Linked DNA regions of Diceros bicornis minor. The protein of the gene in region 4 purifies or fractionates together with the protein of the main gene of each other region. This does not show direct contact. Links are inferred from orthologs where the notes say so. Each region holds a gene or a part of one and is shown on either strand. Other genes may lie near its edges.

What was found.
Region 1: the proteins of ZNHIT2 (region 4) and TSSC4 purify together in Homo sapiens (affinity purification with mass spectrometry; 3 studies listed by BioGRID and IntAct, counting the BioPlex papers as one, with this or other methods). This does not show direct contact. The link is inferred for Diceros bicornis minor from reciprocal best matches to the Homo sapiens genes ZNHIT2 and TSSC4.
Region 2: the proteins of ZNHIT2 (region 4) and AAR2 purify together in Homo sapiens (affinity purification with mass spectrometry; 3 studies listed by BioGRID and IntAct, counting the BioPlex papers as one, with this or other methods). This does not show direct contact. The link is inferred for Diceros bicornis minor from reciprocal best matches to the Homo sapiens genes ZNHIT2 and AAR2.
Region 3: the proteins of ZNHIT2 (region 4) and ECD purify together in Homo sapiens (affinity purification with mass spectrometry; 3 studies listed by BioGRID and IntAct, counting the BioPlex papers as one, with this or other methods). This does not show direct contact. The link is inferred for Diceros bicornis minor from reciprocal best matches to the Homo sapiens genes ZNHIT2 and ECD.

The regions. Positions count from the first base shown.
Region 1 is NC_080770.1:2,325,163-2,333,013, reverse strand, and holds the start of TSSC4 (U5 small nuclear ribonucleoprotein TSSC4), read left to right. Parts: upstream 1-4,844; 5' UTR 4,845-4,970; intron 4,971-5,023; exon of another isoform or gene 5,024-5,666; intron 5,667-6,391; 5' UTR 6,392-6,544; intron 6,545-6,708; 5' UTR 6,709-6,730; coding exon 6,731-7,693; 3' UTR 7,694-7,851. Other genes in the region: CD81 antigen, read left to right, coding at 1-8, 885-959, 1,255-1,383, 1,854-1,955, 2,475-2,561, 2,644-2,706. UniProt on the Homo sapiens protein: Protein associated with the U5 snRNP, during its maturation and its post-splicing recycling and which is required for spliceosomal tri-snRNP complex assembly in the nucleus.
Region 2 is NC_080758.1:23,635,435-23,643,313, forward strand, and holds the start of AAR2 (protein AAR2 homolog), read right to left. Parts: upstream 3,007-7,879; 5' UTR 2,964-3,006; intron 2,958-2,963; exon of another isoform or gene 2,736-2,957; intron 2,724-2,735; exon of another isoform or gene 2,645-2,723; intron 290-2,644; 5' UTR 238-289; coding exon 1-237. UniProt on the Homo sapiens protein: Component of the U5 snRNP complex that is required for spliceosome assembly and for pre-mRNA splicing.
Region 3 is NC_080745.1:33,360,116-33,367,861, forward strand, and holds the start of ECD (protein ecdysoneless homolog), read left to right. Parts: upstream 1-4,734; 5' UTR 4,735-5,079; exon of another isoform or gene 5,080-5,138; intron 5,139-5,223; exon of another isoform or gene 5,224-5,381; intron 5,382-6,195; 5' UTR 6,196-6,208; coding exon 6,209-6,413; intron 6,414-7,746. Other genes in the region: primary cilium assembly protein FAM149B1, read right to left, coding at 16-120, 4,445-4,491. UniProt on the Homo sapiens protein: Regulator of p53/TP53 stability and function. Inhibits MDM2-mediated degradation of p53/TP53 possibly by cooperating in part with TXNIP. May be involved transcriptional regulation. In vitro has intrinsic transactivation activity enhanced by EP300.
Region 4 is NC_080770.1:8,036,762-8,044,046, reverse strand, and holds ZNHIT2 (zinc finger HIT domain-containing protein 2), read right to left. Parts: upstream 2,919-7,285; 5' UTR 1,747-2,918; coding exon 550-1,746; 3' UTR 512-549; downstream 1-511. Other genes in the region: delta(14)-sterol reductase TM7SF2, read left to right, coding at 1-127; FAU (ubiquitin-like FUBI-ribosomal protein eS30 fusion protein), read right to left, coding at 4,498-4,623, 4,772-4,827, 5,231-5,375, 5,470-5,544; MRPL49 (large ribosomal subunit protein mL49), read left to right, coding at 6,082-6,159, 7,188-7,285. UniProt on the Homo sapiens protein: May act as a bridging factor mediating the interaction between the R2TP/Prefoldin-like (R2TP/PFDL) complex and U5 small nuclear ribonucleoprotein (U5 snRNP).

The DNA.
Region 1 (7,851 bases), about 5.7 Mb from region 4:
TGGGGACGGTGAGGTCCTGGGCCAGGGGGGTGCTATGTCCAGCTCGCCTAGCAGTGGGGGGGCTGCAGGGCTGATGCTGACGGCAGAACCCGGAGCTCCGGGGAGGCAGCACGTGGTCAGCCTAGACTGGCCTGCGATGTGGAGCTCGGGCGCCTCCCCTCGCCTGTCTGGCCCTGGAGGAGGGTTTACAGGCAGCCTGACGACCTTCCCCAGAATGCCAGCTCCCTGGTTTCCCTGTTTGGGTCTTAAATTGCATCACGGTTGATTGCCCTTATGTCTAGTTCCTAAGTTCCAAAGTTGCTTTTTTTCTTTCTTTCTTTAAAGAAAAACCCACAGATATAATAGGAGCGAGTCCCAGTCTCATGGCCAATCTCAGGTGTCCCAGGGCATGTGGGAAGCTGAGGCCTGGCTGTGGTGTCCAGGGTCTAGCCGGTCCAGGAGGCATGGGCTGTGGGAGCCTGTGCCAGTGTCTCCAGTGGGGGAAACTGAGGCACACCACGACGACCCCTTTTCCATGGGGAGAGGAGAGGAAGAAATGGGGCAAGGAAAGGGGTACTGGCGGCCCAAGCCTCCTTGGGGGCTGTGCCACCCTGCATTTCCCAACCCACCCAGCCCCTACCCTTGTCCTCTTCCTCCAGCCGCCCCTGGTCCTGCGGGGACAATGAGAACACTGGCCTCCTGCTGCTGGGGCCAAATCTTAGGCTCCATACAGCTCTTCCCCGGTCAGGACGTGGGTGGGTGGGTACCGCCAACCACCCCACACACACCTGTTGCTCAGTCGGGCATGTCACCTGTGGAAGGCGAGCCCCAAGCTGCCACGCCAGTCAGGGCCTCAGGAAGCCCTGGCCGTGCCTGCTCTGAACCCCCCCTCTACCCTGACCCAGTTCTTCACCTGTCTGGTGATCCTGTTTGCCTGCGAAGTGGCTGCCGGCATCTGGGGCTTTGTCAACAAGGACCAGGTGAGCCTGAGTCCATAGGGGAGGGCCAGTCCCAGCCCGGAGGGGCGGCGGGGGGGAGCACCTGCTGCTCAGGCTGTGGGAGACGGGTCGGGTTGCGGGGTGCTCTCTGGGACTGGCCTGGGAGGGAGACCACAGAGGGCTTTCTGGAGGCGGTGGCATGGAGGCAGGGCTGCCCGACTCCCAGCTTCTGGGTTGCAGCTGGGCTGTCCTGGAAGTGATACCTTCTGGGAGAGTCAGGTGAACGCTGTCTCTGGGGATGGTCCCCGCTGTGCATGTGACCCCACCCCTCCCCCAGATCGCCAAGGACGTGAAGCAGTTCTACGACCAGGCCTTGCAGCAGGCCGTGACACTCAGCAAAAGCGACAGCGACAGCGACAACGCCAAGGCCAAGGCCAAGGCTGTGGTGAAGACTTTCCACGAGACGGTGCGGGAGATGGGGGGAGGCGGGGAAGGGGTCGAGGGGGACCAGGGGAGGCCAGGTGGATGAAGGTGTTTGTCCCCTCAGTTGAGGCCCAGCTAGGCCTCAGCCCAGACCTCCGGAGCAGAAGGGACACTTGAGACCTGGCAGCCCTCTCCTTGAGGGCTGTGGGGCCGTCTGCGAGCCCTGTGGGGGCTTCTCTGGGACCTGTGGGTCCCTGGTGGGAACGAGACAGTTCAGGCCGGCTGGGGTTCATGGGTCTCTGAGCAGCACAGCTGAGTGAGAGGCAGGGAAGGAGGGGGCGCCTGGGTTTGGTGCTCCCCCTGGAGGGGACTATCCCACCCCCGCAGCACCATGCCAGGCCGGGGCAGCTGCTGGGGCCCCTGCAGCCTGTGGGATGCCTATCCTCGTGCATCTCCCCTTGCGTCATCTTGCCCGCGCCCAGGACTGACCGTGGGCATGCTTGCTCTCTGCAGCTCAACTGCTGTGGCTCCAGCACGCCATTCGCAACGACCACCCCTGGGTTCAGGAACGACCTGTGTCCCTCGGGCGGCAAGGTTATACCCAACTTATTCAAGGTGTGGGTGGTGGGTGGGACCTCCCAGGGGCTGGGTGGGGCTGGGCCTGCCTGCTCCCCCACTTCGCTGCCACCCTCCCCTCTCAGTGGGTCCTGGGTGGTGGGTGGGCCACAGCTACACAGCGGCACTGTGGCTAGAGTCAGGGCTGTTCTGCCTGTGGGGCTGGGCCAAGGCTGAGTTTGTACTGACGGCCCATAGCGGGGCGACTGTGCCCTGGGTTCCCAGTGGGGGAGCTCTCCTCCTCCGCTAGCTCTACCCGTACCCGAGCAGGCATGGAGGGCGCCCTGACCGCTGGGTCAACGCCCATCAATGCCCAGTGATCTCTGAGTGGAACAGGGAGCACACAGCCCGTCCCTCGGTTCCACATTTGGTTTAAAATGGAGAGACTGGGTGTTGTTCACACCTCTTCTGAGGGGCAGGGGCCGTGCCCCTCCATGCTCTTTCTACAATGATCCGGCTGCTGCAGTCCGGGGGTCCTGCGGACCAGTGCCCCTGACCGCCTGTGGCCATCCCCCACAGGAAGATTGCCACAAGAAGATCGATGAGCTCTTCTCGGGGAAGCTGTACCTCATCGGCATTGCCGCCATCGTAGTGGCAGTGATCATGGTGAGCGGGCAGGTGGGGCGTCTGCTCAGAGCCCTCCACGGGTCTGTGGGTGCTGACCAGCTTGCCCGCCCCCTCCCCGCAGATCTTCGAGATGATCCTGAGCATGGTGCTCTGCTGTGGCATCCGGAACAGCTCCGTGTACTGAGGCTCCGGCCACTCGGGCCGCAGGCCAGGCCGGTGGGACCCCTGCGGCATCCCCAGGGCGACCCGGACACTTCTGCAGAGGGCCTCTCACCACCTGTGTATATAACTTTTCTGGTATTATTACTCTGCTGCACTTATTAGTCTTTTTACTTTTGAGGTTTTGTTTTGGTCCTGAAGTTCCCCATTACCTTCTGGGGTTGATGTCACCTGTAGGTGGTATGTGACTGGACCCTGGGGACTGCAGGGCAGGGGCCCCCTCTGCCCCTGGGGCCGCCTGGGGGCTCTGCCTGCTCAGCCAGCCCTCTCCAGGGGACCTCGCGGGCCTTCTGGTGGAGCTGCATCCTCCCACCCACCTGTCCCCATAGGCTGCAGGGCTCAGGCCGTTTTTAATCCATGTTCCTCTCCTGCCACCTGTCTCTAGAGCGGGGTCTACGAGCGGCCTTATGCCTTTAATGCACCTCTCCTTTCTAACGTGTCACCTTCAACTGTAATTACATCTTGAAAGTCATTCAATAAAGAAAGAAAAACCAGGCATGCTCACAAACTGTCCAGCCCCTTCCTGTGCCTGCATCGTCCAAGACCCAGGGGGTGGCCGGAGGGGAAGGGGAGCCTGGCACGCATGGGGCTTAGCTCTGTGGACCTTGCTGGGCCCAGGGTGTGCTGCCAACTCTGTTGGTGGGTGAAGACAGACCCCCCCCCCCCCAGGACAGCCCCCTTTCTTGGGCCCTGTGCCACCTGCAGCAGTCTCCAGCCAACCTCTCCCCTACTCCTCCTGCTGCACCACTGCCTGGAAGGAGCAGGGGGGACAGGGCGGCCAGAGAATGCGGTGCAGCAGATGTTTGAGGTGGGGGGCCTGCAAGACTCTCCTGACGGAGGGCTCTGTGGAGGCTGGACGCCTGGCCCCGGCCCTGTCCCTCCCCGTCTAGGTGCCTCTAAATGTTCTGTTGAGGAGCTGGGTGGCTCAGGGCTTAAGCCCCATCGTGCAGGCGCTGGATCAGAGGGCCTCTACGACTGCCTGCGGGAGCCCACCTGGCCCACCACGGTGGACTGAGGTCTAGCTGCCTCTTGGATCTGGCTGCTGCCCCGTCTGGAAGGCTGGGTGACATCACTGTGAGCTATAGGCAGGCACGGACCTGCGTGTGTGTTAAAATTGACCCCTTGAGGCCACAAAGGCCTGGCTGGGATTCATGTCGCGGGCACCCGGCCGCCTCCCTGGGGGCAGATTTTGGAAACGAACCCCAGACCTGCGCTGGGGGTCGGGGGGGAGGGTCTCAGCGGGCCTGCCGCTCTCACCATACCCCTCCACCGAGCTTGCCGGGTCGGGTCGGCCAGAAGGACGGGATGGTCGAAGAGCCCCCTTTTTACCCGGGGATGTCCTGGCCAGGGCTTAGGTGTCTGTCACCTGTAAGCTGCGATGTGACACTACACAATTAGTGCGGGGGGGGGAAATGGGGAGTCCCGAGGCTGCACAGGAACGGGCCCCGTTTCCTCTCCGGGTCCCTGGACTCCGGGGATGCAGCCCTGGGAGAGGCCGAGGTCCGGCCGTCCAGCAGGCGGGAGCCGAGGCGCCTGGACTCGGGCACGGCGCGGCCCAGCGGGGAAGGGGCGGGTGGCGGCCGCTGGGCCCGGGGACGAGGGACAAGCGCCTGTCCAGGGAGCCGGGGCCTGTCCTCCGCTCCCGGGCGGAAGAGACCAGCTGGACCATCAGCCATCGGCAAGCAGGCTAGCCCGACCATGACCCCCTCGGCGGCTGCGACGAGCACTCTACCTGAGGCGCGGCCTGCTCCTAGGACCTACGACGAGCGCGATCAGCCGCTTCCGGCCAGGACCGGAAGTGCCCGGGAACAACGCTGCGCGTGATGATGCACTTCCGGCCTGAGGGACTACTGTTCTCGGGCCTTCCGGCAGGTGGCGCTGAGGCCCAAGGAAACCGGCGCCAGCAGTTAGCCCTCGAGCATTCTGGGAGTCGCAGTCCCTTCTCCTCCCTTCCCTCCTCTCCCTAATCAATTCCGGGCTCTTGGGGAAGGAGTTCCGACGTTTCCGGGGAGGGGAGGTCAGGGAGAGAAGCGAGGGCGCATGCGCAAGGACTACACGTCCCGACAGGCCTCGGGAGTAGCGGTCCAGTGCCTTGTGGGAGATGTAGTTCTTCAGGCGCGGAAGCCTTGGCGCTCGGCCGGCGGAGGACTCGGTTTCCCAGAGATCCGAGCGCGGCGCAGGATGGAGGCGGTGCAAGATGGAGATGGCCGGGCGGGCCACCGTGAGCTGGTAGGTTTGTGGTGAGGTAGGACGGCGGCGCAGGCCGGTTGGGTCTCGCAGGCTGCTGCCCCGAGCCCTGAGACCCCAACGTGCTCTTTGTTCCTCATGTCTCGCGGCCTGGCCGTCGGGCCCCCGTGCCTCGTGAGGCCCGGACACTTCCTCACCCAGCCCGACTGGGTCCCCAAGACCCAGGCCTCGGCACGAGAGCCTGCTGGGCGCGAGTGCAGGAAGTCACGGCTCTGCCTCCGACGGGGAGAGAACCGGCAAGGAGGCCAGTGGTCCCGCTCCCGGGGACCCCCGACCCCTCAGCCCGGACTCGGCTCTGCCTTCTCTGAGCTCCCGCAGTTCCCAGAGAGCTCCCAGAGACAGGCTCCCGTCTGCCCCGAGCGCCCCGCTGGTCAGGCGTCTTGTCGTAGGCGCGGCGGCGTCCCCGGCGGTGCAGGGGACGGGAGTGCGGATTTGGGGAGCCGGGGTCTGCTCGGAACTCCAGCCGTGCGTGCGACGTGCTGTGTGACGGGCAGATTATCTGTCCCCCCGGCCCTGCCTGCTCTGGAACCCCCCGGTGGGGTGTGCTCCTCTCCTTGTTCTCTCTTTTAGTCGTTCCCTCGTTTGGGAGTCATGCCGCAGAGGAATGGAGATCTCGCCCGTGTCTGACCTGGTGCGGGGCTCTCGGGGCCGCTCCTGCTCCGCCTGGCCAGGTCTTCAGTGGGAGCAGGAGCAATGGGTCACCCTGGGCTAGGGAGGCTTCTCCGGGGAAGGGGAGTTGGTGGACGGATGGGTGAGGCTGGGCTGCCTCTGAACCTGGAAACAAAGCTGCGGGTGCCTGGTCACACTCGGACACTCGAGTGTCCTCAGCAGTTCTCTGCTCAGCTGGGGAAGGTGGGGGTGTGTAGCGAGTTAGAGGAGAAATGCTCTAGGGGCCGCGGGGGCTTGCCTCTGCCCAGCGAGGCTGCTCCAGGTGATCACTGACACCCAGTTCCCTGAGAGCTTTGACCCTCAGGTGCCCAGGACCTGGCTGCAGACCCCTCTGAGCTCTCAGAGCAACTCCAGCAATCAGGAGCAAACCTGCTCCCCACAGACAGGGCAAAGTGCTCCAGTCTTGGTGGAGTACTTCCTGGGTGCCTCGCGCTGTGCTGAGCAGTTTATGAATGACCCTCCTTGGTCAAGAGTGGTAGTGTCAAGCAGAGGCTGCTCTCATCTCGGGGTTCAAGCCCTGGCTGGCCGCCTGCTACTAGAATTCCCCGTCCCCCAGCAGGCCCCTAGTTGTCAAGTTAGGCTTAGCTCGAGAGAATTGAATGAGGTGACATGACAGAGGGCCTGCTCCTGGACCTGGCCTGTATGGGGGCTCCGGAAACCCGGGTCCACTCCCGGGGTTGTGGCACCACTTCTGCACGCTCACTGTGGTCTGATGGCTGGCTTTCCTTCCCCAGTCTCAGCCGCCTACAGTTGAGCCGCAGCTGAACAGAGCTGTGCCGGGGGACTTCTGGGACTGAGGCCACCACGCCTTTGCCGCCACGGACCTTTGGCAGCGCTCCTCCCACCAGCACTCCAGTGTCAGCACAGGCACCCAGAAGACAAGGGAGGTGAGGAGGGCTCTTGGGGAGTGGAGAGGGACTGTCCCTTCCTTTGTAGGACACAGTTCTTTCTGCTGATCCTGCTGCCTGCTGGGTGCAGTAGGTCTGCAGGAGGAGTTTGTTCTAAATGCGTGCTGTTCTCAGAAACTGTTTGCTGGGCTGTTTTGGTCTAGGTGTGGCGTGGCCTTGGGACACATGGCTGAGGCAGAGGCAGGCGAGGCCTCTCTTGGCTTGGACGTCGAGCAGGGGACAGAGTATAACACCCTGCCTTCCGACACCGTCTCCCTTAGCGACTCAGACTCCGACGTCAGCCTACCGAGCGGTGCTGATGTGGAAGCTCTGTCCCCAGAGGGGCTTCCTGGGGAGGCCCAGGGGGATTCAGACCCCGATGAGTCCCCCTCATCCCCCAGGGGCTTCCCCACAGTTGAGGTGCAGGCGTTCCACCTGAGAGGCACGAGCACCACCTTCTCTCAGCGCAGCCACAACATCTTCGACTGCCTGGAGGGGGCAGCCAGGCGGGCTCTGCCCTCTGTGCCCCAAACTGGCATGGGTGACAATGGGGGCTTCAAGCGGCCCCGGCTGCCCTCAAGCCAGCCTCCAGCAGAGGGCCTAGGCAGGCCTGTCCCTGACTACGTGGCCCATCCCGAGCGTTGGACCAAGTACAGCCTGGAAGACGTGGCCGAGGCCAGCGAGCAGAGCAACCGGGCCGCCGCCATGGCCTTCCTGGGCTCCCAGAGCCTGGCTGCCCCCAGCAACTACGTGCCCTCCTTCAACCAGGATCCCTCCAGCTGCGGGGAGGGAAGAGTCATCTTCACCAAACCGGCCCGAGCTGGCGAGGCCAGACCTGAAAGGAAGAGGGTCCTGAGGAAGGCGGGAGAGCGGGGCAGGGGTGCCCCTGGGAACCCAGCAGTGGTGGGGGGTGAGGGTCCTGTGGAGCTGGCCCACCTGGCTGGGCCTGGGAGCCCGGAGGCTGAGGAGTGGAGCAGCCCCTGTGGGGTCCTGCAGGAGGTGGACACGCCAGAGGGGGCCGCCCACACCGGGTCAGCAGCAGGGTCCCCAGTGGTGGAGACTGTTGGCTTCCACGGCAGCAGGAAGCGGAGTAGAGACCACTTCCGGAACAAGGGCAGCAGCCCCGAGGCCTCGGGTGCTGAGGTCTGAGAGGAGAGACTGCCCAGCCAGCCTTCCCCAACCAGGCTGCCCGTGGGCTGGTGTTGGAGGGGCTGCCGGGGGCCACTGCCCACATAGGGTGGCTTTAGGGGCAGGTGCCGCGGGCCCCGTCCCCACTCCTTTGGGAAGGGAGCTGACGGGCTGCCTGC
Region 2 (7,879 bases), on a different chromosome or scaffold from region 4:
AAGGAAGAAACCCATACGAGGGCCCACCTCCCTGGGATTGGCCTTGTCCACAGAGCTGTAGTGGAGGAAGTGGATGCCTGGTGGGATCATTTTCACGCCCCGGAACTTCGGCCCCACCTCCCAGGAGTTGTAGTCAATGCCAAACTCTGTCCCCTTGGGCATATTCAGGATGACCACAGTGGCCCCTTCAAAGAAAAGGCGCTTGGCAAGCTCAGGATCCATCTGCATGGCAGCCATGGGACCAGTGGCGGGTGACCTTTTGGAGAACTTTTCTTGACTTCCAAAACAGCTGAAAAAGAAATAAATCAGAGTTAATCAGAACTTGGGGAAGGATGTTTCACTGGCTGAGCATTCTCTATACGCCAGATATTGAATTAGACTCCTGACATAATTATCTCCCTTAATCCTCACCACAACCTTGCATCTGTTTCACAGATAAGGAAACTGAGACTCAAAGAAAAGAGGATTTTTGTGTTTTGGTTTAATGGGCACGAACACTCACTTCATAGCTAAAAAGACATCAGTTAAAGAAGTGACATGCTCAAGGTCACAGAAGGACCCAAATTAGAACCTGAGTACCTGGCCCTCCAGGCCAGTGTTCTTTCCACTGTCCACGCAGGATCTACTCTCAGATCTCTCTCTCACAACAGAGGAAGAAGGTGGAGAAAGCCTGGATGATCCATTCTAAACCATAACTCTGCCTAAAACCTATTGCTGGAGAGTCCCAGAAGAGCTGAGAAAGATGATTCAATCAAGCACACACCCAGTTTCTCACAAGCCTCAGGCAAAGCCCAGAAATAGACAGAAGGTAGAAAGTGGGTGCTTTCTACTTAAAATTCACAAAAGGTTTGGGCAGTGGAGAGCTATTCAACTACAACACCCTCTTTATTCTATTACTTATAAAAAAGCTAAAGTCTAGGAAGTGAAACGACTTCCGAAAGGGCCCACAGTCAGTGGCAGTTTTGGTCCACTCGCCCAGAAGGGATTCAGGTGGCGTGGCTGGCCTAGGATCAGTATTTGGAAGAGAAAGAGCTTAGAACACCTATTTTATCTACTTCTGAACTACCCATGAGGACATACTGATAAAACTTCTGTAGGCAGGCAGACACTGTCTCTGTGTATTTATAAGAATACTTCCAACATGAACTAATTTAAACCAATTATCTAACCTTCTAGTCCCAAGACACCTACCTATTCAATTCAACAAATAATCACTGAGTGCCTGCACTGTGCCAGGATCCTTGCCGGGCACTAAAAGAAACATCCAGAGTAAGACAGTCACTGCCCTCCAGGCACTTCCAGTCTAACCAGACATACTAACAAGACCCCAAATTTCACAAACAGAAGAACCAGCTGCCTGTTTAATTCTTTTTTACTCTTTTTATGCTAAACAAAAGTGAAGAAAGGAAGACCAATCCTTTTCCAAAAATGTTAAGGGCATATTTTATCATCTTAACCCAAAAACCACTACAAATGACTCTCACTCTAAATCAGAATTTTGTCTTTTCAAACTGCAAGTCACAACTCGTTCATGGGTTAAGAAATCAATTTAGAGGGTCTCAACCAGCAATAATTTTTTTAAATGAAAAGAACAGAATTATAAAAAATCAGAGTACACCATGAATAGTAAAGATAAGTATTGTTTTCTGAAGCTTTGTGTGTTTGTACATATCCTTGGTCAAGATGTAAAATTTGTTACTGTAGGTCACAGTGAAAAAAGTCTGAAAGCCACTGCTCTAAATAATTTATATCATCATCTTCCTACTTCCAACTCTGAATTCAGAATGTACTTAATAAATATTTGCTAAATGAACAGCTATTGCATTTAGAATAACTGCTCATCAATTAGCTATTTTCTCTTGCAGCATCTGTGTGCTACTCCTCGATAATGACATTCCTTTCATTCTAATTCCACCAGCCTATAATTCTCTTCAGTGTATCTTCAGCAGCTGGCACGTGGCCTGGCACAGAGAAGATGCTCTGGAATGCAGAAAGTCACATTCCTCCACCTCTGTCCACCACCTCCTTAATCCAAGCTACCATATCCCTCAGCCAGAGAGTGCTTGCCCCCTCCAATCCCTTCTCCAAGAGCCAAAGTTACCTTTTCAAAGTGCCAATCTAAGCATGTCACCACCCGCACCTATTACCCTCTGAGTGGCTTCCCATGTGGCTCTTGGAAAACCGAAATTCTTCCCACGACCTACAAGGCCTATGTGGTCTGTCCCCTGGCCACTCCTCCAGCCTGTCTCATACAGTGCTCCCCCCCAATAATCGCTCTGTTGCAGCCACACTGGCCTCTTCCCCACCCTCAAACAGGAGGCTCTGGATAGAAAACTCTTCCCTCCTCTCTGCGTCAAATCATTTTTCCGATCTCAGCTCAACATTCACTTCCTCAGTAAAGCTCCTTTGACCTGAGGCTGGCTCAAGCCTCCTGTGACGCACTCTCAGGGCGCCTTGCACCTTCCACTGCACTCAGCACGGCTGCGATTTTCCGTATGTTTAATAGAGGGCTGTCACCTCCACGAGAACTGAGTCTTTTGTATCTCCAGCACATATTAGACGCTTGATAAACATTTCTATAATAAAAGCATGACATCCATCTTGTAGATGAGAAACAAAGGCTCGGCTCGTCGAAAGACCTTACCCGAAGTTACAGAGAGTAGGACAAAACCAGGGCGGGCGGAGCCAAGGTCTCCAGCCCCCAAGTTCTACAGTTAGGAGGAAAGCGCAGTTACCCCGGGTGCCCCTGGAAGTCCCGGCGACGGTCCGTGGTGACGGTTTCTCAGGAGAACGGCCTGCAGACACCAGGGTCCCAGCACCGGCCCACAGACCGGGAGGAGGCCGTCCCGGCGAGGTGCCCCAGCTCAGAGGCACTCCGTAATCCCGAAGCAGAAAGAGGGGTGGCCGCGCCACACAGACAACGAAAGAAGAGGAGTTAAAAGTTGACAGGAGGCAGCACTCACCGACTTCGGTCTTCCCCACGCTCAGGTTCCGCGGAAGCGCACCGGAAGTTCTACCGCTTAGGCGCCGGACCGGAGCCACGAGGAAAGCAGCCCGGCAGAGTTCTCGGTCGCGGAAGGAACGGTCCGCGCCTGCAGGTTCCGCCCCATCAAATGTTGCCTTTTGCTACTTTTAGTTATTCGTTTTAGTTCCTGAACCGTGGAAAACAACTTTCATCAAATGATGCATTTTATATCCCCCTCCAGAAACACATCCACCAGCAGTGGTTCTTTGGTTTCAATCAGTCATGGTCACTGAAGCCAGGGTCAAGGTCATGGCTGCCCAGTAGCCACAGTCAGACCCTCAGTCATGGTCCTGGTCAGCCAGTCTCTGTCGGAGTGACGGTATCACAGCTGGCCTGTTATCATCCGGTCCTGGCTCAGCCCTAGGGGAGAGTCTCTGAAACCCAGCCCCCAGCCCAGAGAGAACCAGACTCAGCAGCAGTAGTCACCACATTGGTCCCTCCAGCCATAATCACAGGGTCCTCTGGCAGCCCAGACCTAGTATACTATCTCAGTCAGGCTACAAATGCACCCGGAGGGAGGAAAGTCTATCTTGTTCTCCACTGTTTCCCTGGAACCTAGCACAAAGCCAGGCACAAAGGCTCAGCTCAGTGTATATATTATGCATTTAATTAATGACAGTAATTTGGTATCAATAAATGGCTTCTATTTTTGGGCCTAGCCCTGTGCTGGGTGGTTGTATTAGTCAGGGTTCAACCAAAGAAGCAGAGCCAACAGGAGATATATAGGACATTTATTGCAAGGAATTGGCTTACGTGATTGTGAGTGCTGGCTAGGTAAATCCAAAATCCATAGGGCAGGCCACTGGTATATGATTTTTAATCCTTACACTAACCCTCATAAGTAGGCATTAGTATTCCCAACCTACAGAAGAGAAAACTGAGGTTCAGTGAGGTTACACAGGCAGAGAGTGGTGGAGTTGGAATGCAAACCAAGGTCTGACTGGCTGTTCTTGCCCCTGTGCTGCTGCTCCTTAGCTTGTCTGTCACATTTCCTCAGTGACAGCTGGACACGCCAATCTGTCTCTGTCAAAATTCATCACTTAGTGGGTTACAGACTAGACTGAGCCCTGCAGTCATGGTTAATCACAGTGAGCTGCTGCAGGATTAACCAGAGATGGCCTCCATTAGTCACAGTCATGCGTGTCAGTCTCAGCCTGTTGTGTCAGTTCCATTTCCTGCATGAAGCTCAGCTCCCTCTCCGCCCCTCCCCATTCTTAGGCGCTGAGCTCTGTGGTCTGGTTTCAGAACTCTGTGTTCCAGCTGGGCTCACCATCTTCTCAGAGACTCTAGGGCACTAAACTAGGGACTACAGCACAGAAGCTATAGATAGTGGCCCAGGAACCCTACCCTGTGGGTGGAATGTCCATCCAGATTAGGTTTCTCAACCTTGGTACTATTGACATTTGAGGCCTGGTAATGCTTTGTTGTAGGGGGCTGCCCTGTGCATTGTAGGATGTTTAGCAGCATTCCTGGCCTCTACCTGCTAAATGCCAGTAGCACCTCTCAGTTGAGACAACCAAAAATGTCTCCAGACATTGCTAAATGTTCCCTGGGGGACAAAATCCTCCAGTTGAGAACCACTGATCTAGATGAACCAGCCCTAGGTTATTCCCAAACAGCTCAAAGGCTGACCCTGTATTTACGGGAGATGGAGATACAGATCCAGGGTGTGTGGGTACCCAATGTAAGGAAACCTACAGGGAAAATTCAAGGAAGGATCACAAAGCTCCAGGAAGCAATTGCCTCTGACAATGGACAGGAGTCTGGAGTGGGTTGAAGAATGGCTTTTCACTGCACAGCATTTTGTATCATTTAATGAATTAACTTTAAAAAGAAAAGACATAGTATTTGAAATTATAGGGAAACGCTCAGGATTTAAGTTTAAAAAAGTATTTAGAATGATACATACTAGGTGACTTCACCTCTGAAAAAATACACATATGTAGAAAAAGAATGGAAGAAAATGCACCACATTATTAGCAGTGGTTCTCACATGTAAGATTTTGGGCAATAAAGAAAGGTGGTCTAGGGGCCAGCCCTGTGGCTTAGCGGTTAAGTGCACGCGCTCCGCTACTGGCGGCCCAGGTTCGCATCCCGGGCGCGCACCGACGCACCGCTTCTCCAGCCATGCTGAGGCCGCGTCCCACATACAGCAACTGGAAGGATGTGCAGCTATGACATACAACTATCTACTGGGGCTTTGGGGGAAAAAAAAGAGGAGGATTGGCAATAGATGTTAGCTCAGAGCTGGTCTTCCTCAGCAAACAGAGGAGGATTAGCATGGATGTTAGCTCAGGGCTAATCTTCCTCACAAAAAAAATTAAGAAAAAAAAAAGAAAGGTGGTCTAAGGTGAGTTGCTTAGTAGAATAAAAAGGAAAGTGTAGTACACACACCTCAGGTAGTCCAAGGGATGAGCTTAAGTTTTACGTAGATTATGGGTTTTTAATTTTAATATTTTTGCATTTATTTTTATGAAGACCTCCTTTCTTTGGCAAGTGACACTAGTTTTCCATTTGTGGAAGGTAGTTTCCTTTTTAAATAGTTTGTTTTACGGAGAGTCAATTTAAAGAAAAATGATAAGTCAATAATGGGACAGGTGGCATGCACAGGGATATGGCAACATATGTGAAGGTGGTAGGCAAAGGCTGAAGTTGGGGATTGCTGTATACATTAGCCACCAGGCTCCCATGGAGGGGCTGTAGGAAGACACCCCAATGTAGGTGCTCTCCTTTCAGGAAGAGGGATCATGTTGTTCCTCCACACACGAAGCTCCTCTGTGTGGGGCTTGCAGGCTCACTGTTCCTTCTGCCTAGAATGCTCTCACCCAAGTTCTCCATCTTACTGGATCTTTCTCTGCATCAGCTCAAAAATCACCTCCTCGAGGAGGCCATAAGCCGCCACCTAATTTAAAGTGGTCTCCTTGGTGACCATGCCCTCCCCCTGTGCCTTTCCTTTCTGGTGCTGATCACATGGAATTACCTCTGACTGCCTGCTTGTTTTGTTGTCTGTTTCCTCCATTAGCCTGTAAGTTCAGGGAAGGACTTTGTCTTATTTGCTGTTGTACCTGCAAAGCCTAACGCAAGACGTGGACCACACCGGGAGCTGCAAATATTTGTTGAATAAAAGTGTTCTAGGGTGGGATCTCTCCACCCCAGTTTTAGCTCTTCTCACAATGCAAACTTGTACTGGTAGCCAAGGTCAGAGAAAGAAGCCAAGGCGGTTTGTGGTTCAGCATCAAACACATTTATTTCACTTTTATTGAGTATACAAGAACAGAGAGCACACGCATACAGCACGGAGCACTGAGGTGGGGGAGCGTGGGGACCAGACAGGAGAGAGGGGGGTGAGTAAAAAGGAACAGGACAGCATCGCAGTTGGTTGGTAAGGTGCTTTTGAAAAAAAAATTATTTAGAGTGATGTTGCTCATGCAATTTCAGACCAGTCTTGGAATGTGCTTGCAGGATTCAAAAACTGAAACAGGTCCTGGCACTTCCTGTACCCTCAGATGGAAAAGATCCCGAGAAAGCAAAATGAGAGAAAACGAAGATCTGCAGGATGGCAGAGTGGAAAAAGACCCTGGAGAGCATCCGGTTTATCCTGTTCATTTTGCAGGTGGGGAAACGGAGGCCCAAAAGGGGTACGGGACTAGCCTAATGTCATATGGTGTGTTAGGGGCTGAGCCAGGATGGCCACCCAGAATTCCTGACTGCCCTCCAGGAATTTTTCCACTATGCTACATGGTCTCCTGGGTGGAGAGGCGGCACAGAAAGGATGAGAAATGTAAAAAGGAAAAGTAGGTTGAAGACAGATAAGACAAACATCTATATTCTCTATGAAGAGGAGTATGGGGAGGAAACAGTGCCCTAGATTTCAGTTGCAGCTCCCCTCCTCCCTGGTGGCACTGCCTGCCTCTCCGTGGAAGGAAGGTCAGAGCACCCGTGGGATGGAGAGCTGCACAAATCCTGCCCCACAAGCTAAGCCTGGCCACTGCATCCCTGCCCTGAGGCCACATAACCAGGGTCTGTAGGCAGGTGCAGAACTCAGAACAAATATTCTCTCTCTGAAGTGTGTCCAGTGTGCTCAGGATGTCTGGTTCCTGCAAAGACAGGGGTGCCTGAGACAAATTTTGGGGGGGCCAGAGAGGTTGGATCCACTTCAGCTCTTGGCCCAGAAAGAATGGGAGCTCTCAAGTGAAGAAGGGCAGGAAGGAGGTTTTGTGGCTTCTCTACCAGGACTGTAAAAGGAGCCCGGTGCATGGAAAGTGTGCTGTGGCACTCAGCGGGAGTTGGAGTGGGCTGCCAGCCTGCTCCAGGGAGGATGTGGCTGACTGTGCCACAGGGCTCTCTCTGCCCGCTCTCCATCCCATTTTGCACACAGAGGCAAACACTCTTCTGGTTTCCTGTCCTGCCTCAGGTCAGCCAGCTAAGCAGCTAAGCATATATGTGACGGGGTAACTGATATGCAAACCAGGACCCTCTGGAAGGCATCCCTGGGCAATGTCCGATACACTGGAGAGAATAAGGAAATGCTCTCAGAGGGGCCAGTTGTGACAAGAGATGTAAGGCTGGCTCAGGGAGCTTCCCTGGTCCCTCCCCTCCCCTCCCCCTCTCTCCAGCTCAAGAATGGTGACTGCCACAAGTGGGTACCCAATAAATATCTGTTGAATGAATTTATGGCCTGCTTTAGAAGCAGGACTGGGCAAGTGAGATGGGACTGAGAAATTGAAGTGCAGCGGGGCCATCCTCCCTTAGAAAAGGACTCATCGAGCTCAGGGAAGCAGCTTGTGGCAGGAAAGCCTGGGAAAGCCCATGTGTGCCAGAGGTCAATGCCAAGCTTTTGCCAGGGTCTTCTCC
Region 3 (7,746 bases), on a different chromosome or scaffold from region 4:
ACTTTACGTTATTACCTTTGGGAACTTGTGTCTTTTTCATGGCTGTCATTGGCAGAGGAAACTTCATCCAGCTGCTCTGGAAGGGGATGATGATTCAGAGCATGTTTTGTTATTCCTTTCCTGTGAAAGATAAAAACAAAGTTATATTTCCTGTAAAGAAAAAATACATACTTTTCAGTAACTTGATCTACAAGTTAGTCACCTACTTCTTATTGCTCTGGAACCACACTGTCCAACACGGTAGTCACTAGCCACTAGCAGTTAAAATGTGGTTAGTTGGAAATGAGATTCACTTGAAGTGAAAAACACATAGGATTTTGAAGTCTTAGTACAACAAGAATGTACAATATATCCTTAATTATTTTATCTTGATTACATCTTAAAATAATATTTTAAATATATTGGGTTAAACAAAATATATTCTTAAAAATAATGTCATTGCAAATTGAAAATATAATGTTATAACAACACACCTATTAGAATAGCTAAAATAAATTATAGTGATGATACTAAATGCAGGTGAGGACGTGGAAAAACTGAATGTCTCATACATTGCTGGTGGGAATGTAAAGTGGTGCAGCCACTCTGGAATAGTGTCATAGTTTCTTATAAAACTAAACACATACATTTACCATAAGACCTAGCTGTTGCACTCTTGGGCATTGATCCCAGAGAAATAAAACTTATGTTCACACAAAAATCTGTACACAAATGTTTACAGCAGATTTATAATTGAAAAAATTGGAAACAACTGAAATGTCCTTTGACGGGTGAATGGTTAAATTCTGGTATATCCACACAATGGAATATGATTCAGCAATAAAAAGGAATGAACTATTGATACATGCAACAACTTGGATGGATTTCAAGGGCATCATGGTTAGTGAAAAAACCTAATCTCAAAAAGTTACATACTATATGATTCCATTTATATAACATTCACAAATGACAAAACTACAGAGGTAGAGAAAAGATTACTGGTTACCAGGAAGATGGAGAAAGGAGTGGATGTGAGGGTTATACAAGGATGTTCCTTGGTGGTGATGAAACAGCTCTCTATCTTGGTGTACCGGTGGTTACACAAATCTATAAATGAGACCAAATTGCACAGAACTATGTACACACGTCCACACACAAAGGAGCGGATATGAAAACTGGTAAAAACTGAATAAGGTTTATAGTCTAGTTAAAAGTATTGTATCAATGTCAGTTTTTTGGCTTTGAAATTTTACTTTAGCTACATAAGTTGTCATCAGTGGGGAAAGCTGGGTGAAGGGTTCATGGGACTCTATGTACTATTTCTGTTAACTTCCTGTGAGTCTATAATTATTTCAAATAAAAAGTTAAAAATATTAATTTCACCTGTTTCTACTATTTTTTTTAATGTGACTACCTGAAAATTTAAAATTACATGTGGCTTGTATTATATTTCTATTGGACAGTGCTGCTCTAGAGAGTTCAACGTGTGCACTAGAATAAACTATGGAGTCAACTATTATATGTTCCAATCCTAATCATCTACAGTAGCCCTTTCTTTCCTTCCCCACAAAATTCTGTAGGCAAATAAATTTAGGAAACATGATAGGTTAAACAAAGTTACACAGGTTTCTTTACAAGAAGTTTTCCCAGGGCCTTTAATATGCAAATGTATATTATAAATCTCTAATACTCTTATTTCACAGGAAAGAAAAGTGAGGCACAGAAGGATTAAGTAACCTGCTTAAGGTCATATGGCTTAGTAAGTAATGGAGCTAGGATTCAAATCCACGTAGTCTGGCTCTGAGGGCTCTCAGGGCAAATGAGTAGTTTGAGATTTCAGTGAATTGTACCAGTTTTTGTATAAAGATAAAGCTAAAGGCCCAGCCAGCTTGTTACTTTAACCCAGCTGGGCTTGTTACTTTATAATTTTATTTATTTATTTATTTATTTCCCCCCCCCAAAGCCCCAGTAGATAGTTGTATGTCATAGTTGCACATTCTTCTAGTTGCTGTATGTGGGACGTGGCCTCAGCATGGCCGGAGAAGTGGTGCATCGGTGGGAACCCGGCATCCGAACCCCGGGCCGCCAGCAGTGGAGCGGGTGCACTTAACCGCTAAGCCACGGGGCCAGCCCTGAGCTTGTTACTTTAAATTATTCTCAAATGGTGGGGATGGATTTGTAAGCTATTTGTACTTCTCTCATTTAATGATCCTACAACCAAAAGCTTGTCTTTGAGACAATAGTGAGGATTAGAAATGTGGATTCCAGCTGCAAAATAGAAACTTAAGGCAGATTTAGTCTGTCAGAGAAATCTGATCGTGACGTGACAATTAGATAATACCAAAGAAATATTAAATTTGATCACAGCATCATGGTTACATAAGAAAATGTCTATAATTTCTAGGTGCCTAATGAAGTATACAGGGGTGAAATGATATGCCTGGGATTTTGCTTCCTTATTTCACAAATGGCAGACAGAGAGGCTGAATAAAACACAAAGATTATAGATGAAGCAAATATATTAAAATTTTGATAACTGTTGAATGTGGGTGATGGGTGGTTCATTATATTATTCACCATACATTTATGTTTGAAATTTATCATTAAAAAATATTAAGCTGTATGTTGAAAATCACTTTTTTCCAAACTCTTCAATATCTATAATTTGAAACCATTAGGGAGAAAACTAAGTTACTTCTTCAAAGCAAATTATCATTATTAACACCTAAAGTAAAAATTGCTTTTAATTAACTGTCATTTAGATGCATATAATCTTCATTATCTTCATTATTCACATCATCCTGACTCATTTAGAGAATCATCTTTTGGGAGAGTTATCTTTAGGGAGTATCACATCAACAATAGAGAACAAGTAACATAACCACACTGGGTCAATAATTCTGGCCCAATAAGTGCCTATCAACCATTTTTTTCCATGAAAAACTTTTTTTTACTCTCAGCATTAATTATAAAAGCAGATTTTTAGCTAAGCCTTGTTCCCTTTGTTGGGAAATAACTTGCTTCTTCCTGGTTCCTCAAAAGCCTACTAACTGAATTGCTACTGTGTAGATGTCCTGTTACTTAGTAGATAACAAGCTTCTGAAAGGCAAGGAGAGATCGTAGACTGATTTTCTTTGTATGGCTATTGTACCAAGTAAAGGTGGGAAAAGACAAGGAAATTACTGTTTGCTGAGGACCTACTATGTGTCAAGCCCTGTGCTATCACTTTAGATATGCTTTTAAATAAGGTCTTATTTCTGTATTACAGAAATGAAGGCTCAAAGATTTAGCAATCTGCCTAAAAGTCACATGGCTAGAAAAGAGCCTAGCCAGAAACCCAAATGTGACTGAAAATACCATGCTTATTATTACCATTATAGTTAATATTTAATTAATAAATGCATGGTTGCTAAAATTACATAGCTCAGTGGAGGAAAAAAATAGAGATTTGGGATTAAAAAGTCCAAAAACCTACTGGTTATATAATCTTAAAATGTGTAACCTTTCTGATACTTCATTTTCTGAAAAACAAGATAATCATACCCATCTTACAGCATTGTTAGAAGAATCAAGATGTGTAGGTCTTTTTGAAAGTGTAAAGCATTAATAAATATATACATTATCATTACTTGCTAAATTACAACACCTCACTAGGGGTAGAAGGTGGGGCTTGAAGCCACCTCTCTAAAATTTCTAAAATCTCAAAAGCAAAACTGATCCTTAAGAATTCTGACGCTTGATTGCAGAGATGGGGAGGCAGTATGTGTAACGATTATGACCACAGGCTTTTGCTTTCTAAAATCTCAAAACCAAAACTGATCCTTAAGGATTCTGATGCTTAACTGCAGAGGTGGGGAGGCAGTAGTGTAATGGTTACGACCACAGCCTTCAGAATCAGATTGACATCAGGTTTGTACTTCAGCTCCGCCACTTTCTGACCGTGTAATCTTTGGCATGCTACAATCTTTAAATCTGAGATCTTTATCTGTAGAATGTGCAAAATAATAGTCCCTATCTGGTATCCTGTGGAGAGCATTAAGTGAGCTAACGCACGTAAGCAGCTTTGCTTGGTGCCCGGCACTAGATCAATTCAACTTTATGATAGCACTCAGTCAGCTATTAATAACTTCTCGAGTCTTCAATGGCCATTGACAATGGGGCATGAAGCACTGCGGTAACTACAAATGCCTTAGGAGACCCAGTCCCTCGGTTCAGGAAGTGCAGCCCAAGAGGGCCAAGTCCTGGGATAACACAAGTGACACGCCCTCCTAGACATGGAGGTAGAAGGGGCAGATAGAAGGGGAGGTAGAAGGAGCTGGAAGGAGAGAATTCCGAAGAAAATTTTCTTTCCCCCGCTCTGGGAAAGGAAAAGAGCGAGGGACTGATCAGAGAGGGTCCCCAGAGCGCCTGCGGTCTGCCTTGGCCTGCCCTGGCCCCAGCTGGGGTAGCTGAGTGGTCCACTCACAGCTCCAAACTCTGGGGCACCGCCTTCCGAGTGTATCTGGAGATCATCCTCCTCTTCCTCCTCAGCCGCGGCCGGGGCGGGCACGCCAGGGTGGGGGCCACCGGGCCTGGCCCTCCCGCCGGCTCCGGCCCGGCCCCCTCCCGCCACCTTCCGGCCCCGTCACGCCCCGTCGCCTAGACTCCCGATCGCCACCAACCCACAGTCCCCACCTCTCCAAGTGCTCCGCCCTCCTAGCTTCCCCACGGGGGAGGAAGTGACGAAGGCACTGCGGCACCCGCCTAATGCTCCCGCCGACGCTCAGCGGTGAAGACGCCGGGCGTTCCGGGGCTCAGCGGGGTTCTGACTTTCTGTCCGAGCTTCCGCTGGCCTCAGGTCCCAGACGGGTGTTTGGCCCCAGCCTGGGTCAGGCTTTGGCGGCTACCGACCAGCTCACGCGGTGTGAGGGGCGCTGAGGAAAAGTGCCGCCGCAGAGACGTGCCGGAGAGGCCCTAGAACTGTAAGCGGATCGGCTTCACTTTGTCCGAAGGAAGGAGGGAGCCTAGTCTGAGTAAAGAGCGCTCGACTCCAAGTCAGGCCTCTGCTGCTCGGTGGCTTCTCTTTCTGTGCTCCTGGTTTTCTCATCTGTACAGTGAGGAGTAAGCCTGGGTGATCTCAAAGTCCCTTCCAGTTCTGACACTAAGTTCTTCATAATAGGGTGCGCTTGGCATTATGGGGTGCGGGTGGGTAGAATTATTGTTTGTCCTTCTGGTTTGAAAGGCCAAATGATGATTTGGACAGACTGTGGTGAGTGAGTGTCTACATAGAAGATGCAGGTTCTTCTCGACCTCGTTGTATTAGTCCGTTAGAAAACCGAGTAAGCATCAAAATGGGATTGCTGCCTTACAGTGGACCATCCAGTGCAGGGCCTTTCTTTGCCAAGGCTCATCTGGCAGCAAGAGTAAGCTAGTACTTTTTTTTTGTAAGGGAAACCCTTAGAAAATAAAGAGATATCTACCACCTTTTAATATACCAGAGCTATACCCCCTGAGACCTGAAAAGGAGATAAATTTAGGACAGATACTTATAGGATCTAGAACTGTTGTCCGGTAACAGAATCATGGCAGATTATTTTGGAGTGAGATGATAGGATATGAATGTTTTGTAGTTTTGAGTTCCTCTGTGCCATGCAATGTTTGTAAAAGGCAGAGATTGGAATTCTGCAGAGTAAGGGAGATTGCTCTTAAGAGCGTTTAAATAATAAAAATTTTAACTGGGGAAGGATTTTAGAGATGATAGAGTAACACTCTCATTCCACAATTAAGGCAAAAGCACCAGAAAGAGAAAGTGAAATGCCCAAAGTGACACAACTCAGAACTGGGACTTTTGATAGTATTTAAACAAATGATGTTATTGCAGTGTTTCTCAAAATGTGTTACACCACTGCTAGTACAAGGGCAAACATTTTAAATTTTATTCTTACTTATTAGTTAATTGGGAATATGATACTGGATTTCCATTCACAGTATTATATCAAAAGTTCCTTTAACATAATTTTAAGTATAAAGAATATTATTTTAAGTATAAAAATGTCATTAAAATAATATTAAATAAATGTTAATATAGTTGGTACGTGGTCAAGGCAAAAATCATGATGATGGTATGTGGATAACTGAATATTGAAAAACAATGGAATTGACTAGAATAGTTCAGGGAATGGGATATTACTTCTACATTATTCTATAGGGTTTATATTATTGAAACTTTAAATGTAGTTTTCAAAGAAGAATGGAGGAAAATAAGAAGCTTGCTACAGTGGAAGACTCTGTGGAGTACTGCCTATTCCTGATACCAGATGAACCAAGAGACCCAGAAAAACACAAAGAGATTCTTCAAAAATATATTGAGAGGATAATGACCCAGTTTGCGCCTATGCTGGTCCCCTATATCTGGCAGAATCAGCCTTTCAATCTCAAATATAAACCTGAGAAAGGTAAGGCTCTTTTACTTGTTTTGATTTGATATGTATGACTTTCAATGTCATTCTGACAACAGTGATGTATAATAGTCTATAGTTCATTCAGTGTTGTCAGGAGATTTATATCCTGAACTTTTTAGGTTAGTGATGTTTGCCTATATTCGGTTAATCCCTTAAACGTAAAAAAAAATTCTTTTTAATTCATATTGATGAAAATTTTCTAATAGTCATTGCCTTAGGAAATTATATCTACTCAACATTATTAAAACATGGCTTTTCTTTTGGACTTTAATTGTTTTGCTATGCCATAGTGTATCTAGGTATATAGACTAAACAGGTTCAGGCATCTGGCTTCCTTAACCATAGTTCCTTTAGCTGTTACTCTGTATTCCTCACTCTTGGTAATGTATTTAGTAGGCTGCCTTGTTGTTTTGGTGGGGATCTACGAGTGGCTCTGCCTTGCTTATAAAGAGAAATAATTGGTCTTTATTACCATTATTTGTCATTCAGAAGCATTTTGAGGTTTCTTCACTGCTTCCCTGTGTTGTTGGTGCTTGAGATCTGACCTCTGGCCAAATATGGCACTTTGTCCTATCATTTCTTATAGTTTTACCAAAATGAATCATGGATAGGTGATCAAGGCTCTACTCATGCAGTGACTTATGTGGGGGTCTTGTTTCAGTTCAGGAGTCACATCTTGTGATACGATCAGTCTGGCTCTCAATCTAGCTCTTATCTGTTATCTCTTCGCTAGCAGTTGCCAAATGTGTTCCCTACTAATTAATTTAATTTTATCGAGCTCCTGTTCACTGAAACATATGTGATATTTATTGGCAAGAACACTGTCATGTTAGCACAGCACATCCAAAACCAACTCCTTATCTTTTTTCTAGAAAATCATTTTTATCCAGTGTTTTCTCATCTTGCTTAATGGCATTGCTATCCATCTAGTTATCCAAGCTTGTTAGTAATTCAAAATCATACTCAACTCTTCACTTCACCATGTTCAGTCAGGCACTAAATCCTAGTATGATTACTCCTAAAATATGCACCCTTCTCTACATCTGTTTGGCTATAGTGTAGGCCCTCTTTATCTCTTCATCTGAAAGACTAAAGTAGCTACCTAACTAACCTTTCCGGTTCCATTGTCTCCAGTTTCTCACACTGTTGCCAGTTTCTTTGTAAAACTTGAATTTCATCTTGTCACTCTCCTGCCTAATATCCTTCAACTATTCCCCATTGCTTCTGGATGAAGTTCAAATTGAAGTTTAATATATAAGGTAGATAAAAATAGACACTCTTTTGGAGCTTCTCTAGTTGAAAACACTTGGGAGATCTACGATGGGGA
Region 4 (7,285 bases):
CTACTTCACCGCGCTGCTGGTGCACCGGGAGGCCCGGGATGAGCAGCAGTGCCTGCAGAAATACGGCCTGGCCTGGCACGAATACTGCAAGCGTGTGCCTTACCGCATTGTGCCCTACGTCTACTGACGCAGCTCCGCCCACCCGACGTCGGGCACGTGCCCGCCCACCCACCAGCACACCCAGCACCAGGAGCCGGGGCGCACCTGCGACCCAAGGGCCTGCACCCTACCCTGCCTCGAGCTCCAACAGGCAGGGATAGCAGCCTCAGAGAGGTAGTTTGAGGCAAGGAGCAAATGAAGCCAGTGCCTAAAAATGGAGTGGATGGGCTGCTCTTCCTCCTTGGATAAACATCTGGAACCCTTGGTGCCGCTTCTCTCCCTCTCTGGGCTGTTTAAAAAGTCGCTGGGTCAGGCCTCATTAGGGAGAAGCTGAAAGCTGGTTTGCGGCCGGAGTCTGGGGGTGGGTGGGACAACAGCTGTCACTCAGAAATGGGCAATGCCGACAAGGCAGACCAGTCACAGCTTTATTAATGACAAGGGGTCCCCAGTTCAGCCAGGGAGCTCCTCAATGAGAGTCCTCGGAGCAGGTGGCAGGGGGCCTCCCCAAAGCTGCTCCAGCTCCCCAGTGAGGGCGGCCACCTCCTCGGCGGCCACAGCATGGGCTCGGTGGGCCCTGGTGCAGTCTAGAGCCAGGGGTGTGAGGGCCGCCTCATTTTCGTTGGTCCAAGCCAGCAGGAACTGGCACTTCTTCCGGGCCCGGTAGAGGCGATCTCGCTCTTCGGTAGCCACGGCCTGTTTCCGGGCCCGGCCCAGGGTCTGCGCCAGGTGCCCCAGTGCTGCCAGCGTGTAGGCCTTCTGATTGGCCGGGCCCTCGCCCAGCAGGAGGCGGGCGGCCTCGCGCATGGCACCCCTTGTGCCCAGGGGCCCGGGCGGATGCTCGCCTGCTTCCAGCACGTGGGCTGCGGCCTGCAGAGCCTCCTCGGCAGAGGCGAAGACTTGCTGGGCGCCCAGGGCTCCGGAGACGCCGAGCAGCGTGGCACAGAAGTCGGAGAGCAGCGCCTCGTCCCCGCCGTGATACAGGGCAAGAGTGTGTGCATAAGCGAACAGCACGTTGGGCAGCTGGAAGCGCACGAGCGGCGAGGCCCGGCCGCGGCTCAGGCTGGCCAGCGCGGGGATCCGGGTGGGCACGGCGGGCGCGCCGGTCCCCGGGGCGTCTCCGAGAAGCGGCTCGGCGGCAGCAGCATCCTTCCCGGGTTCTGGCGGCGTCCGGGCGGGTGGGAGCTCCAGCTCCGCGGCCTCCCCGCGGGGGACATCGTCCAGCTCCTCCAGAAGCCGCGGCCCGGCCCCGTGCGCCCACCACCACGGCCGCCACGCGGGCAGCAGCCTCCCGGCCTCGCCCCGGCTCAGCAGCCGCTCGAAGGCCGCCTTCTCGGCCGGGGTCAGCCGCTCCCAGAGTCCCGAGAGGCCGCCGGGCGCCGGGCCCGGCCTGAGACCTGCGTCCTCGGGCTCGTCCTCGGTCTCGCGTTGCTGACGCAGCCGGCGGAGGGCGCCGGCCAAGCGGCTGGGCGAGGCGCTGCGGCCGCGGAGCTCTCCCAGCACCTGGTCTCGGTAGAAGTCCTCGGCGCAGGCGCCGTGCGCCCGGTAGCACCGCAGCGAGCAGTAGGGCACGTTACAGCGCGGGCAGGTGTAGCGCGCGGGCTGGGCCTCCCCGGCCGGGCAGAAACCGCACGGCCCAGCCGGCTCCATGGCAACTGGCGCCGCAGGCCGCCACCGAACGCACACGGATTCCCGCCCGGCGCTTCCGGCGCTCCTCGAGTACTTCCGCCTGTGCGGGGCCGAGGGGGCGCTTAGTCAACGCACCCCGAGGACTCTCGGCAATTTCCGTCCACATTCGGAAGCCAGACCCCACCCCTCTCTCTAGTCTCGCTCGGGCAGGCGCAGGAGCCGCTCGTGACGTAAGAGCCCCGCCCCGCGCGGTGAGAGAAGCAGGAAAAGTGCGTCGGGCGGGCGCTCCGCCAGTGCCAGCTCGCCCCCTAGTGGTTGCCTTTTGGGCACTACAAATAGGTTCGGCAGAAATGGATCTTTGCTAAGCAGCTACCCTGGGCCACTAATTGTGCCAGGTCCATAGGAGATGAGATGCCTCCCCGCGCTGCAGGGGCAGCCATTCTGCTGGGGGACACAGACAAATAAAGGGGAGTGGAAGAAGGCCAAGGTGGAGTACCTAGCCTAGACTGGGTGTGTGTGTTGGGAGCATTTCCCCTTTTCAGAAGACAGCATTTAACAAGTATCTGAGCTCCTGTTTGATTTCCACCTCCAAACCTATCGTTCATCCAACTTTAAAGAGCAGACTCCGAACTAGGGGCCAAAAACACAGGAGCAAAAAGAGATGGAGTCCCTATCCTAATGGAGCTTAGTTTGTGGTAGAGTGGGGGTGACCCACAAACCGTGCCAAGCACTGTGAAGACTTGGTCCATGGCACCCCTGAAAGTAAGCTCTGGGTTCTTTGGTTCCTCACTTAACTCACATTCAGCCCCACCTACAGTCAGTTTTGCTTTCAAAATACCTCATCTCAATATGGATCATATATTTCCCTACCAAGATCTGGATGGATTTGACCACCCTCAGGTCTGCATCCCCACTACCACTGGTGGTTTAAGCTACTTGCCCCTCAACTGGATGACACCACCTTAACTGGTTTCCTTTCTTGCCAGCCCTCCAAAAAATCAGCCAAAGTATTAGATCACAAGTCAGATCACATCAGGTCCTTGCTTAAAACCCTTCCCTGCACTTAGTGACCCTCCATTGCACTTGGACTCAAACCCCAACTTCTCTGCATGTCTGCCAAGACCCCGCAGGATCTTCCTGTAACAGCTACATCTCACGTTAGCATGAGGGAAGCCATCTTAGGGAAAGGAAGCAAGATTTAACTATGACCCTGACTCACTAGTTTCTAAGAATGCACTCTGGCCTGCACGTAGCCTAGATGATTAAGCACCTTTCCCTTTTGCAAAATACATGATCTAGTTCTGTGACTCTTGCTTACATATATCTCCCAGCTGTGATAAGATGGTAACTTTTTTCTCCAAGTTGCCGAGGAACATGATGACCTCCAGAAAGAAAAACTCTGCGTTGGTACCCATCATGAATGACACAAGAGATACTGAGGTGACGAAGTTTGTCACACTGGATGGTCAACATTCCTAAACCTCCTCCTTCCCTGCCCATTTCTCCTATGTAACAGCCTCAAGATTCTGTATCACTTTTAAGATGGTTCTTTAGGACACTAGTCTGCCATCTTCCGATTATGCTAGCTAATCGTATAAATTTTCCTTTCTCAACCACCGGCTTGTTTGCAATTGATGGGCACCAGATTGTGGCAAGCAGAATGAGCCCCTTTTTGCTCGATTACAATCCCATCTTCAGAGGCCTTCCCTAGCATAGGGTGTGTGTCCACCCCCACTCCGACTTTCATTACTGCACTGCTTCCTTTGAGGCTGTACCACTTGTAACTAGTGTTCTCATTTTCCCCACAAGAATCTCAACTCCTAGAAGAAAGAGGGCCACATCTTTCTAAAAAGATCCCTACAGAGACAAAAACAGCCAATATATTTGCACACTTACTACGTGGTAGGTGCTAATCCAAGTTCTTTACACCCTTCGTTTAATCCTCACGGCAACTCAAGAGATTACGGCAGAGATTAAATAAGTAGTTAATTCAAGGTCAGCCAGACAGTAAATGGAGCAAGGATCCAAACTCAAGGCAGTCCAAGTCCAGAGCCCAAGGTCTTTACCCCGTGGCATGCTGTACCCCAAGAACCAGCAGGTTCAAAACTCTTAGCAGAATGAATGAGGGAGTATGCATGTGTTGCTAGGAGGGAAACTTCAATCAGCCTCAGTGAACTCCACTTCCGGGAACACTGACTCAATCAACTGACCAACCTCAGCTGTTATTAGGTTAACAAGGCTGCCACAGTTCCAATGTAATCAGGCAATGCTTTCCACAGCTGGGGCAGACCAGACCCCCTGCCCTAGACTCCATCAAGGCCACAGCTGGTCCAGGGAAAGGCCAGACTGATGTTCCCTGATACATCTACTTGAACTCCTCCCCTCCACTGCTGCCTCCATAAAACCTCCCACAATTCCTGCTCTCTTGTTTAAAAAAAAAAAAAGAACAAAAATGATTTGGGGGAATTATCAAGTCATTTGGAAATCAGAAATTGCCCCAATTCTCCCTCTGAAGGGCTAGCATCTGTGGTTACCCATTTTCACCAGAAACCTTTTCTTGTAGTTTACCAACCCCTCCTCACCCCGCCCCCTACCCCTGACCAAGGGCCTCTGCCTCTTCCTAACTTGACACTGCCAAGAAACCAGAGACGCCTCACTAGTGGACACACCAGCAGCCCGAGAAGCCATATCTCTCTCTCTGCAAATGAAGATCAAACAATGAGACGACTAGGCTAAGTGGCTTTATTAGAGAAAGCCAGGATTACAAAGAATTTAAGAGTTGGCATTGGGGCCCTTCTTCTTGCCAAAGGTGGGCACAACGTTGACAAAGCGCCGGTTGTACTGCATCCGCCGCTTGGCCCGGCCTGTCTTCTTCTTCTTTTTCTCCTGTTTGGCCACCTGGGAAAAGCGAGGGCTGATCAGACCCTGGCTCACCTCTTCTAAGCCTTCCCTCAGACTTACCTCCAGGGAGGGAGAAGGCAGACAGGGCAAGGGCCAAAAATCTTTAAAACAAAGTCCAAAGGACATCACTAACACTGTCACTTACCTTCGGAGTCTGACCTCTTACTTTCCCAGCACGGGCCAGGGAACCATGGACTTTACCTGTGGTGAGAAAGGAGACCAACAAGTGGTTATCGAGCAGGAAGGGCCCAACGGGGAATGAGAACAAAGTTGCAGAGATTTGACTTCTGACCAAGAATGTCTAGTCTGTACGTTCTGGGGTTTCACTTCAGGATATTTCAGCCCCTGACTTTCAACAAGAACTCAAGAGCACGCTAAGGATCTGCTCTGACCTAATTTTAGTGAGAAAGCTGGGAAACAGTCAAGGTTCTAGTAAGTGACTGAAATAGAACTATACTCCGGCTCAGTCTCCCATGGACGTCTCAAAAGTTCATCTGGAGGGAGGTAAACAAGAAGAACCACCCCAAATTGAGGCCACCGAACGCCACACCCCACACCCATTAAGTGATTACGAGCAGTTTAAAGACAGTCCTCACCAACTCACCTCCAAGCATGCGGCCGGCTACTTCCAGAGTGGTCAGAGCCTCCACCCCACACTGGCCCAGAGTAGCCTCATCCTCTAGGGGCGTGCCTGCCAGGAGCAAAACTTGATCTTCTGGAGCGATACCCTCCAACGAGGCTACATGAGCCTGCAGAGAAAAATGAGGCTCATGAGCGTTCCTGCGGGGGCCGAAGTTGAAGAACACGGGCGGATGGAGCCCAGGGAGCACCACGCAGCCCTACCTTGATCTGGGCGACCGTCTCCTGGCCGGTCACCTCGAGGGTGTGTAGCTCCTGGGTGCGGACAAAGAGCTGCATGTCGGCGACTGAGAAAAGACAGACTCGTAAAAGAGACGCTCTGGGACAGAGGAGACCGGGGAATGGGTGGCGGGCTAGGGACGGTCGCTCCGGGAGATAGGTGGTCGCGGGGTCTCACGTGGGCGAAGCCGGGCCTGCCAGGGAGCTCGGGTGGGGACGGGAGCCCGGCCACAGGGCAGCCCCTCTTCCTCTATTTCTCCTGCGCTCTCTGATCTCGCGGCCAACCTGCTATTAAGCTCTCCGGATCCAGCCGTGGCCCAACTCTTACCTGAACCTCGGCCACCGCTGCCGCTACCGCGAAGATGGAGTCGAGAAAGAGGAAGGAGCGAGGGCGCGCACGTCCTCGCCGCCTGCTGCGTGCTACGTCACTGCCGAGCGACCGCCAGAGCCTCTCATTTTTGTACCGCCCACGACCGTTCTAGCTCCGCCTCCTTTCGTTCCGCGCAGGCGTCATTTCGGTCCCGGCGGCGCGCGCAGGAAGGGGCGGGACCAGGTCGGTTGCGCGCGCAGAACGCTTGTGTACGGGGGCAGTTCAAGATGGCGGCGGCCATGTTCCGGGCTGCTCTGCGGGGCTGGAGAACCGGCCTCCAGCCGGGCTGCGGGCTACGGCGGCTGGTGAGAGCGCTGAACCTGGAGCTGGGGGCAGAGGGCTGGGTGTGAGGCTCACTGTTATTCCTTGTAACCCTAAAAACCGCGACCCTACTTGGGGGCTTAGTTTTCTCGTCTGATCGGGGGCTCTTCTGGAGCTCAGATGCAAGATTGAGAGGGATGGTGGCATTGCCTGGAGCGCGCTCTGGAGTGTGGGGGGTGGAACCTGATTGGAGAACATCCCAGGTTAGTCAGAAGTGGGAGGGGCTGCTTATCGACTAATTTTTTTGGAGGGGAAACCGTTCCACAGGGTGGAGTCGGCCCTGGATCATTGGCGACACTCCTGGGAACCTAGAGCCCATGATATACAGGCCACTTTACCCTGTTGCCCTGTTCTCATTGTAAGCCTGGGGCCCACCAGGACTCGGGAGTATCTATGGGGAGAAGTGTCCAAGACTGATTTTTAAGCTGGAGGATGGGAGGACAGACTTCGGAGTGTGACCTTAGCTAGATTGTTTATTGACGTTTTAATCTTTGTTGGGTGTAAAAAGGGGGTATAAAATAAAATACATAACTTGTCGCGTTATAAGAATTAAGTGCAAACGATACTCGTAGAGCACTAGTGCAGTGCCTGGTGGTGTCTATATGAGGCTGAAACGTTCCAGGTAAGGGAGGGCCACATCGGATGAGTGTGAGTGGGAAATGATCACGATTGCAACAGGTGCCTAGCCCAGAACTAGAATATTTTAGTGGAATGTTCAGAGAAAACTTTAAAATACCGGAAAATGCTGCATTGGTCAGACTTAACGGTTAATCAGCTTTTCAGAAGTATACACACACTTGTTATTTGAGTCCCAAGAAAATCCTGAGAGGCAGGCCCTTCAAAGTGCCTCAAATTCTTTTCCACTCCACCTGTACCCTGCACTCTGGCAAACTGAAGCCTGGTGCTTTCCCACCTCCAGCCTTTTATTTATGCCATTCTCCCCACCTGTGATGTTTCCTTTCTCTACCTACTAAAGTTCTGCCTACCCTGTGGTGGGTGGGCTGATGGAGAGACGGTTGTTTTGTTTTTGCTTCAGAGCCAGACCCAGGGGCCTCCCGATTACCCCAGTTTCGTGGAGTCTGTGGATGAATACCGGTTTGTGGAGCGCCT